2 linked regions of the Drosophila melanogaster genome follow. The protein of the gene in region 1 interacts with the protein of each later gene in a pairwise test. Each region holds a gene or a part of one and is shown in the gene's direction. Other genes may lie near its edges. The genes, in order: side-II and Sec63.

What was found.
Region 2: the proteins of side-II (region 1) and Sec63 interact in a two-hybrid assay, tested with the Drosophila melanogaster proteins (one large-scale study listed by BioGRID).

The regions. Positions count from the first base shown.
Region 1 is NT_033779.5:14,969,032-14,973,982, reverse strand, and holds the start of side-II (sidestep II), read left to right. Parts: upstream 1-1,682; 5' UTR 1,683-2,440; intron 2,441-4,951.
Region 2 is NT_037436.4:7,358,558-7,364,898, forward strand, and holds Sec63 (secretory 63), read left to right. Parts: upstream 1-2,003; 5' UTR 2,004-2,350; coding exon 2,351-2,474; intron 2,475-3,081; exon of another isoform or gene 3,082-3,186; coding exon 3,187-3,896; exon of another isoform or gene 3,897-3,964; coding exon 3,965-5,213; intron 5,214-5,295; coding exon 5,296-5,474; 3' UTR 5,475-5,809; downstream 5,810-6,341. Other genes in the region: pst (pastrel), read right to left, coding at 1-58, 134-223, 294-832, 911-1,293, 1,364-1,467.

The DNA.
Region 1 (4,951 bases):
CGGAAAACGCGAAGAGATTGAGATTCCTCTGCAACTTGGCCATGTCCTTTGCCTTTTGCTTAATACAAATGAAAATGGATGAGCTACTAAGCGTTGTCTTTGCTGCACTTGCAATTGTTGCATTCGAACGTTGCATTGCATTGCATTGACTGAACTGAACTGAACTGAACTGAATAAAATGAAATGAAAATGTTGCAACAAGCTAACACAACAACCAAGCCCGGACCGGCCCCGCCCCAATCCGCCTCATCTTTAGGAATTTCCCACCCAATTTTCCACCACTGGGAATGCACTTTGTTTCTATGACACGCCGTTGTCCCCTGCCTCTCGATTCACTTTCTTGCTGCGCATGTGTTTTGTCTTTGTTTTTATGCCATTTATTTATTTAAGTCAATTTCGTAGAGTGTGTTTGAACATTTCGCTGCAATTCATTTTCGGGTTTTATTTTCTGTCTGTCTCCTTCGCTTGCCATTTTTTACGCGTCTTGTATGAGTTTGTACGTATCTTGACGACAATTTTTACTCTGAGTGATTGCAGTTAAAAGCGATGCGACGAAGGTTGATAAAACTCTGGTGGAAGGAGGCCATGGCGCAAGAGGATGAGGTAACTCTGTAGTTAATTAGCTGGTAGTCCCTAGTTTTGATTGGATTTGATCTGTAATTGGTGACAGATGGAAAGGTAAAAGCTACAGTAAAAAAATCAAAATCAAATCTCGCTTTTCCTTTCAACTATTTGACAGAGTTCAATTATTCAGTATTCGCTTTGCTTTTTGATAGCTATTAATTCCTTGAAATATTTCCTCTTTACCTTGTTATTATTTAACTATCTTATTAATTTTAATTTCAGCATTATGTTAGTTCAACAACTTTTTTAAATTGAAAGAAGGCAACATTTTACACAATGTTCAACATTTTACACTACAAATTTACATAGTGGGTGGAGTCCAAGCTTAGCCAAGCATTGAACCACTTTTATACCAAAACTGAGGAAAGTATAAGAGTTTTACTCTTTGCTTTTTGCTCTGTGATTATTCGTTTTGAAACTTTGAATTCTGCTACTGCATGAAATTCTCATGTTTTCTTATCTCCAATTTTTAAATCTCACAATTACCGATCAAAATATAGGCGATTGATAATAGAGACAATAAGTACACTTATTATAGATAAAATATTTTACCTTATTGCATATTTCGGAAAAGGTTTTATTTAAAACTTACTAAAGTAAGTTAGTAATAAAGTAAATAGAGTGAACAGTAGATAAAAATAATAAATATTATTTCCATAGCTTATGTTGGTGAAAATAATATATAATTTTTTGAGCTTGCTTACAAGGCATTTTGTTATTTATTTATATCTGTGCTAAGGATATGAATCTCTTTTTAAGTGAGTTGAAAAAGATTAGCAAAAGCGTTTGATTGCATTTTTAATAATTTAATTTTGTTAACACAGAGAGCGAGCAGTTCATTCATTGCGTTCTCTTTACTCAGCTGCCTTGCGAGATGCTCGTGAGTTTCGCGCTCGTGTTATCCTTTGCTGCGCTCGGCTCTTATCCTGCAGCTCGGATCGGGCTCGTTCTCGGCGTTCGGCTACCGAGAAGCGGAGCTTCGGGCGGCCGACTTCCGGCGGGGGACGGTGGGGTCTGTGGGGCTTGTGGGGCTTATGGGGCTCTGAGTTGGCCAGGCCGATTCAGTTGAAGCTCAGCCGTCGGACTGTTTTGAACGTGGTTTTGCAGGGATGCTGACGCTCGCTGCGGCAGCCATCGAATTAGCGAAGTTATCGGGTCTCGTCCTGCACACACACTCACACCCACCCACAAACGCTGAGAATCGGGTGCGCTGTTTCGCGAATAAATATAATTCTCGTACCGCCAGAAAGGACCAATTATCGAAATCAATAAGAGCTAATTAGAATATACCTGCGCCAATTTGGTTAGGGTTTTGAACTGCATTGAGGTTTGCGTGCTGTTGGTTTTCCGAATAATAAAGGCAAATAAAATCATGCGACTCACTCAGCGAGCAGCTGATATTGTTGCACACACAAAAGGCTACACTACGGCTCCTCTTAGGCGATTTAATTGCCCTGTTCTCGTTTCGGGCATACATTAAAACCAGCAACTAAGTATTTGCAAGTGGCCCAGTGTCTTCGTTGTGTGTGTGTGTGTGTCTGTGTCCGTGTTGTTGTTGTTCGTGTGACCCGGTGTGTATATTCTCGTTACCGTGTGTTTGTTTGTGTTTTGATGGTCACGTGGTCAGTTCAAAGTTGGCTTGGCCCACTGCCTTCTTGTGCGTGACAAAAGTCAAGCAACAGTAGCAACAATAATATTAGCAACAAAAGCAGCAACAGAAGCAACAGCAGCAGCAGCACCACCACCACCAAACACAAATAGCAACAACTGCAATAAAGGATTATCCTGCGTGGGACAAATTTAAATTGCTCGCCAGGTAAGTTGGACGAGCTCACTTTTTGCTCTTTAAGAGTGACTTTTTGCCCAAAAGTTTACTAACTAAAGTTGAAATTGCCAACCGCCCTCGCAGTTGCTGCAGTTAGAGAAAAACGTCTCAGATAAATTAAGCTTCTGGTAACTTTCTAATTAATTAAGTGAGTTTGCCATGTTACATAATTCTTTTTACGTTCTTTTTTCAAGTGGTAAATGTATAATTAAAACAGAAATTATGTCTCGTTATAAAATTGTTCGTCTGGTTGGACTGATATAGTTAACAGTGACTGTGAGAAAACTAAAATAATTAGAAGTAAAATTAGCCTTTTTTATCTTTTTTTAATTTATATATTTTTCAAAAAATGTTGTAAGGTTTTGGTTATTTGCTACTGCAGATATGGCTGGGATTTTTTCAGTGTTGAAGCTGTGGAATTCGCGGTTTAAGCTCTTGTCTCGATGCGCCAGTTTTTCACTTTTGCCGCCCCTTCACTTTTCCCTCGTCGCTAGCAACTTATATTCCCCCGTGATACCCCTCTTTTCCGCTACGCCACTGGGTCGATTGCCGTAACTTAAAATGCGCCAACTGACTGCCAGAAAGTTGCCTAAAACTTTTTGCCTAAAGTTTATTTACTTGTTTTTTTTTTCCGTCTTGCTCATATTTTTTATTTCCATTCCTTTGTCTAGCAATGCAAAATAAAGTAGTGGTATAAAATGTATAAAAAGACTTTCCAAAAGATAAGTAAATGCTTCTGGTAATTTCTTGTAGAAATAAAATATCAACACTTTTTACCAATATTTGAATTTCACTTTGCAGAATAATTCATATGTAAATTTAATGTTGTTTTATTAAATAAAATAAAATGTTTATTTGGCTTTAAAGAAATAATGGAATGACTTCAAAAGTTTCAAGCCTCAGAACTTTCTTAATGTACTCTAGTAATGTGTAATTTAAACAGTGCTCGTTAAAAATGAGTGTTACAATTATGTCAAGATAATAAATAAAAATTAATTTTAATTAGATATTTCATTATATTTTCTGTCAAATAACGGAACACTGCCAAGAAGGGCAGTCACTGTCTTGGCCCTAAAGTTGCAGTTCCTCGAGCTCGGGCCAACTAAAGTTGTGAGCAGCCCACCTGAAGAGGACCCAAATTTCATGCCTTTCGCCTGTTTATTAAATTTGCATGCCGTCTTTCATTAGAGAAAAGTGACAACGTCAGGCCTTTCGCTTCACTCCTGTTCCAAGACGAAGTACTTGCTTACATTTGCTGCTTAGTTTCGGAGAAAATAAATAAATTAGTTCAGTAAATGGAAGTGAAAGAGTGAGAAATTACAAACTTCTGGCAAAGTTAATATTTAAGTCTTGCAGTGATTTTACGAATTTCCCTCTCGTTTTTGGACAATTAAAATATGCAAATGAGCCACCAGCAGAGCCAATGCAAAGCGTCTAAATGGACACGCACGGCTAACCCAAAAAACGGAGATAACGGTGAAGGGGTGTGCGTTTTTGACCGAAGCTCTGGTTGTCCTCTGCCACAGGCAGATACAAATGCCGAGATACAAATGTAGAGATACAAGTGCGTAGGCTGAATTTTTGATTGGCTATGCTGGCGTACTGTCCCCCTTAAAACATTTTTGACAATTTCGAAAAGCTTAATGGCTAATTGAGCTGCCAAGGGAGTGGGAAATGAAAAAGCCAGAGTGGAATGTCGCCTGCATTTGTTGGAGTACAAATTTATGGCGAAAAGTCAATTACGTGCAATGGGTCCAACGAAAATAGGAGAGGGGAAAAGATACATTTCCCAAAGGGATAAGCAGTTAGGGGTTAGTTTACATGCATATATATATAAATATTTGTATATATGGCTTATCAGGAGTACGTATAACATTATCCACGAGTGTGTGCTTACTTCAAAAAGGCATTAAGCCGAAACGTATAAACAAAAGTTAAGCATACCCAACCAAACTTCACCGTTGACGGGTTAATGTGATTTTAATGTACTTTTTACCCTCCCACTCCTTCAAACCCACCGCAGTTTTGCTTACAACTCAGTTAAAGTTTTATGCAATTTCATCATTCTTTTTTAATGCGTGCATTAAGAAAGTTTTTCTTTGCCTTTTGCACTAATGCAAATTGAAATGTAAATCTTCATTTGCCCTGAGTTTTGTTCTGTTGAATTTCGGTATTTCAAGCAAGCAAAAATTTTAAATTGAGCTATGGTACAAATGTCTTGAAAATTTTATTTTACTTTTTTGTTGTATTAAAATAAAGATATTTTAGAATATAGCCTCAAAATTAGTTTATTGCATTTTAAGTTTCAACGTAAACAAATTATGAGTTATTCGCAAAGAGTATAACTAGCAAACCAGCTCATGTAAGGAAAACATAATGAACAATTCCGGAAATTCCACTTCGCTTAGTAAGAAGTATGAGAATGCTTTGCGTGCGGTTGATTTTCACATAACAAAAGGTTCTATTGGGAAAATTTTCCGCGCTTTTGAAATCAATCTTCCT
Region 2 (6,341 bases), on another chromosome or scaffold:
ACGAAGCGGACAATTGCAAAACATCCATCGCAACTATTTCGTCACCGTCTTTTGCTTTCTGTGGAAGATCATAAATTTCATAAGTTTAATCTATCTAGCCTAATCTAATCACAGTCTAAGTTTCGAGACTTGCCAATATCAGATCCAGCACACCATTGGCAACTCCAGTGCCCGATACCACAATCGAGGATATGTTCATGCTATTCACAGTCAGTTGGGTGATCTATGTGAGTACATATTTAACATTTTTATTCCATTGTTGATTGCGTGGGGGGGGGGGTTTAAGGACTCACCGCTCCCACCTCGCGTCCAGCATTTGTGGCCGTTGTCAAGACTGTGGTGGCCCCAGCCGCTGCCAATCCCACAGTGCCACCAGCCACGCCCAACCAGTGACCACGCGCTTCGCGGTCCGTCACATTGATAGACTGCTCATGTTGGCTGCGATCGAATAGCTTGCTGCCAGACCGCGATGCGGCGTATCCAGCACTGGCCAAACCTACTACTCCCGCTGCGCCCATCAGCGGAGCGGATACGGGCAGCGTTAGCAGGGCAGCAATGGGCACACAGGCAGCAAAAAATCCTCCGACTGCCGACCCAGTATCCAGGTAGCCCAGCACCTTCCTGTTGGTCGTGCCCGCCGGCGTTGTGTACTTATCCAGACGTACTTGATCCCTGACCAAGCGGTAAATACCCTTCTCTGGGGCCACCATCACTCCGGCAGGCAACTCGTTGGTGGTCACATACATCTCCCAGTTTTGGTAGACCCGACCAAGCTCGTCGATAAACAGATTGCAGCAATTCGAGCTGACGCTGCTGGTGCCACTACTGCCAACTGAGTATTAAATGGATCCATTGATAGATAGATAGGAAATATATTGTAAATTGCATACGTATGCAAAGGATGACTCACCGACGCATCGACGGGCCCGAAAGACTGGGTGCACGCTGAAGACTCTGGCGTCCTCGGCGCGATTGACGTCCGTTTCGTCAGTTACCACCATTACGTAAATGATCGCCGTCAGCGATTGACGGTTGGTATACTTTCCTGGAAAACAATTGTACGCAGTTAAGGCAGCGAAAAAATGTACTATACTATATACAATCTGTAAGTCCAACTCACGTTGCTGCCAAACGGAATCGAAAATGATCTGACGGGCGCGCTCATTATCTGCGTTGACCTTCAGCCGGATTTTTCTGTCTTTTTCAGTTTCCGTTGCAGTTTTCGGTTCCGGAGAATCACGAATCAATTGACAGAGTTTGCCCCTTAGCACGTCATGTTGTTCATGGGACAACCTGTAAGGGGTTACGTCATTACCCCAAATACTTTGAATTCAAAATTCTAATGCGCAGTAGCAGTACTTACAGATCCCAGATTATCTCTTCCGCGTAGCCGAGCGACTCGGCAAAGTTTTGCTGCACTTCACGTGCGGTGCGGGTAACTTCATGGTTTCCTAATCTATTCGCCATCCCTAAGTTGTCACCTTTCCGTTGCCACAGTTGTGCTGCTAATGGAGTTGTGCCACGGAATCACCAGCTTTTAAGTTAAGGCGCACACTAATTGAACGATCGTACTCGAAATACCGAAAAGGCAAGACGGCAGAAAAGCTCTCTAGGGATCATACCTTTATATGAATACCCCGTATTCCACCGTCACCTTCTTTGGTGAGCAAAATTTAAAAAGCTGCTAGCGTGCTAAACCCAAAATGTAACGAGACGATGAGCTCATGCTAATCAGATATTTGCTTTGTATTTCTAGCGAGCACATATTATATTATAAAAAAAAAAAATATATATATATATATATATAGGCAAATCCATTTAAAAATATACATTTACATTGAAAACTTGCTGACAAAAGTTTTGCTTGCAAACATTTTTAGTACTTGGTGACCTAAAAAATCAGATTCTAAACTTAGTACTGCCAGCTTTGGCAACCCTAAACTATGAATGCTGCCTCCCGCCTATCGATAGCCGTGCAATCGAACCGGCTCCGCTCCAGCTACGCCTATCGGTTCCAGCACGAGCCAAACAACCCTACGTGTCAGTCTCATGCGTCGGTGTAAATACAGAGTTTTTTAAGTTCGCGGCGTGCCAATCTCGCGATATCTTGCAGCAGCAGCAGCAACAACACCAGCTCCTGCCCCATTCGAATCTCGCAGATCGCCGCGTGTCGATCGAGAATCCACGGGGCGCAGCGATTGTAGCGATAACTCCAACGCGACAGCAACATCAGCTGGATCTGCCGGAGGAAAAGTGCAGGGGAAAGCGGCGGCAGAGAAAGGAACGGAACGGAACGGAGCCAAAAGGCAGTGCCAGACAAAATACAAAATACATATAGTCGCTGTCGGAGATGGCGGGTCAAAAGTTTCAGTATGATGAGAGCGGCGGAACGTTCTACTACTTTGTGTTATCGTTCTTGGCGCTAATATTGATACCGACCACCATTTACTATTGGCCACGTAAAAAGAAACAAGGTAAGTGCCGCTTGCCAGCCGATTTAAATCGCACTCTCTCCGCTCTTGTTTTTTAATTTTCCACCTGCAGCTGTGCGCGTGTGTATGTGTGTAAGTGAGTGCCAGTAAGGCGAAGGCATAGACATACATGTGATTACCACGCTCTCCTGCTCTAACCCTCCCGCCGCCACCAACAAACTAAATGGACACGTTCCAATAAGTTATTCTAACAACGTCAGCTCATCGTCTTCGTATGGGTGAAAGCTGCGCTGCGATTACCGCAAGTCGAGCTCTCTTCGTTTTCCAATTGGGACAGCGCACTCAACGCTCCACAAGCGTCCATGCGTCGCTAATATCGTGATAACTTACCTATCATCGTGATCGGTGGAGGAGGAGTGATTATGAGCAAGTTACCTTTGACTTATCGCGATCATGCTGTGCTTGTGCACTTTGCACACACGCTCACTGACCAATCGGCTGCTCTCTCACGATTTTCCTCTCGCGAGATTTTCATTTCTGTAGCGCTGGCATTCCCGGTAAAAAAAAAAATGCAATATGCGTAGACAGACCTCAACTAATTTTAATCGTAATCAGGTTAGCAGGTACCTGTAAAGATCGTTTTTTTTTTAAATCATTTTATTAGCCATCTTAAGTGAAAATGATAAATTTCAAATATTTTAAAATAGCCTATATAATCCCCGTACTGACCCAATTTTCGTACACATACTTGCAGATAACAGCAAACTTAAAGAGGAATGTCAGTGCGCCGACTGCCAGAAAAAGAAGACCATCTTGGCCAATGCCGAGCCGTACAGAGCTCTCACGTCATGGACCATCAAGCTGACCATAGTGCTGGGGTGGGCCCTACTGCTCTTCCTCACGTACCGCGTCTCGCAGTTCGACTACGAGATGGCCAGCTTCGATCCCTTCGAGATCCTGAATGTGCCGCCGACGTCGTCGCAGGCCGAGATCAAGAAGGCCTACTACCGGCTGTCCAAGGTGCTCCATCCCGACAAGGAGACGGGTGACGAGAAGTCCTTCATGATGCTGAGCAAAGCGTACCAGGCGCTGACCGACGATGTGGCAAAGGAGAACTACGAGAAGTATGGTAATCCGGATGGACCGGGTGCCATGTCCTTTGGCATCGCCCTGCCCTCGTGGATTGTGGAGAAGGAGAATAGCGTTTGGGTTTTGGGTCTGTACGGCCTGGTCTTCATGGTGGCCATGCCCTCGGCAGTGGGTGTTTGGTGGTACCGCTCCATCCGCTTCAGTGGCGACAAAGTGCTGCTCGATACCACTCAGATGTACTTTTACTTCATCCACAAGACACCGCACATGCTGCTCAAGCGGGCACTTATGGTTCTGGCAGCCAGTTTGGAGTTTGACAAGCGACACAACTCGCAGGTCCAGGAGCGGCAGTCGGACAATGACGAGGTGCCGGCGGTGAGTGCATTTTATTGGAATTTCCATTCGTTGTTCGCTCACTAATAACACTTCCTTTTCGAATACAGCTGATTAGACAGCTGCCCAATCTGAATGAGAAGTGCAAGGAGCATCCGCTGTGCCGCATGTACTCCATCAAGGCTCGCGCCATCCTGCATGCCCATCTCAGTCGCATGCCCCTCAATCCGGAAACTCTGGAGCGCGATCGCCAGTTTGTGGTGAAGAAGTGCCCGTATTTGGTGCAAGAAATGGTCTCCTGCGTTCACCAGCTGGTCATGATGGCCTATGCCCGACGTGTGCCCCGCCTGCCCAGCATCGAAACGATTGAGAACTGCATGAAAATGTCGCCGATGATTATCCAAGGCCTGTGGGAGTTCAAATCGCCACTGCTGCAGCTGCCCCATCTCACCGAGGACCATCTGTACTTTATGAACAAGAAGAGGCACGTCAAGAACCTGCAGCAATTCGCCCAGCTCAAGCCGGAGGAGAGCCGTCAGCTTCTGAAGAACCTATCTGACTTTGAGTACGAGAACACGATGAAAGTGCTGGGCAAGATGCCGCTGATTGACTTCTCCATTCGCTGCGAGGTTATCGACGATGAGAACACCAATGTGGTGACCGCCGGGGCCATAGTTACGGTCACGGTTACGCTGGAGCGCAAGGACATGAAGACGCTATTCGGTGACACAAAGGCGCCTGAGAAGCAGGGCATCAAGGATGAGACCAATGAGGAGGCTGCCGGTGATGAGGATGAGGCTGCTGCCGCTGCGCCGGTCAAGAAGGCTTCTGCCTGGGCCAAGCCACGTAAGGGTGGCAAGGGAAAGGGTGGTAAGAAACCAGCCCAGAACCAAAAGAACCAGAAGAAGGTGCCGGCCAAGGCTGCGACAACAGCTACGATCACGGCATCCGAGGATCAAGCGGCGGCGGGTAACTCCGATGCCGAATCGGAGGCTGGAAATGCGGATGGCAGCGATGTGGAATCGGCTGCCGGCAGTGGCAGCGAGGATGAGGAGAAGGGCAAGAACAACTCCTCGCTGGACGACGACGATGACGAGGAGTGGGAGCGACTGCAAGCTAAGCTTAACAAGAGGGAGCGTCTCGAGGGCAAGTCTCGGCTGTCGCACACCGTCCACTGCCCCTACTTCCCCGAGGAGAAGCAGGAGTACTGGTGGACCTACATATGCGATCGCAAGTCGCGCACCCTGCTCACAGCGCCCTATCATGTGACCAATCTGGTCGAGAAGGAGGAGATCCAGCTGAAGTTTACCGCGCCGCGCTGGCCGGGCGTCTACACGTTCACCGTTTGCCTGAGATCGGGTGAGTTTCTAAAAGAGTTTGGATTGCATAGTACATTGGCATTCGAAGGGGGGATTCTCACACAATGTTTCCTCTGTTTCAGACTCGTATTTGGGTATGGATCAGCAGCAGGAGCTGAAGTTGGATGTACAGAAGGCTCCCGCACCACCGACGGATCATCCTCAGTGGGATCTGAGCGAATCGGAACCGGAGCACACCGATCAGCAGGAGAACCTGAGCGACTATACAACAGATACGTCCGATGAGGAGGACGGCGAATAAATCCACTGTCTACATGGACAGTGCGACGGACGGACGGACGGATGGATAGACGTCCTGAACCCCAATCAACCTCAACCTCCTCTCTAATTCACTGGGACGGAAGAGAAGCCTCTTTGTTTTCCTTTTAGTAAATGAGTTTCGCGTGGCGCGTGGCGGAGGCACACCAATGCGAACCCTTCCTTCGCATTTTTACTAGTTTTGTAATGGAAAAGACCCCGAACTAGTGCGTAAATAACTATAACTTCATTTTACCGTGTACTGTACTAAACATAATTATAATGTACTGTATATTTAATTATTTGGATACAAGAACTAAAAGTGAGACACGTAAATACAAAAGTCTATTGATATTACTACTCTTTTGTTGTGTTATAAACTGAGAAAGAAAAACCCACGGGCTTGTTGCTACTTTCGCTCACTTTAATGCTGAATTAACATAAATTTACTGCACAATTTGCTGAATTTCTAGATTAACATTTTATTCAATTAAATAAATAGCATCACAATTACTTTAATTTAAACCATTCAAGTTATTGACCACGCCTAAACCTTAGCAATTTTTAAGTTTTTTTTTTTATTACATTTTTGCTAAGCCTTTGGATAAACTAATTGCTTACAGCTTTTAGAATTTGAATATATTTTAGCGCAAAAGTAAATTAATTTTGTAATAAATAAAAAACGGTTGTATCATTGTTAGAGTATCGACACATAAAATAATAAATCAGCAAAAACAAGTGAGAATTGCAACAAGCCCGAATAGTTTGTGGAAATCATAAAAATAATTTAAATCAAAGTTGGCGCTGCCTCTGTCTGCGCTGACGTCGACGCCTACTGCGCAGCCGCTGCCCGCTCGCTGTCCAATAAGAG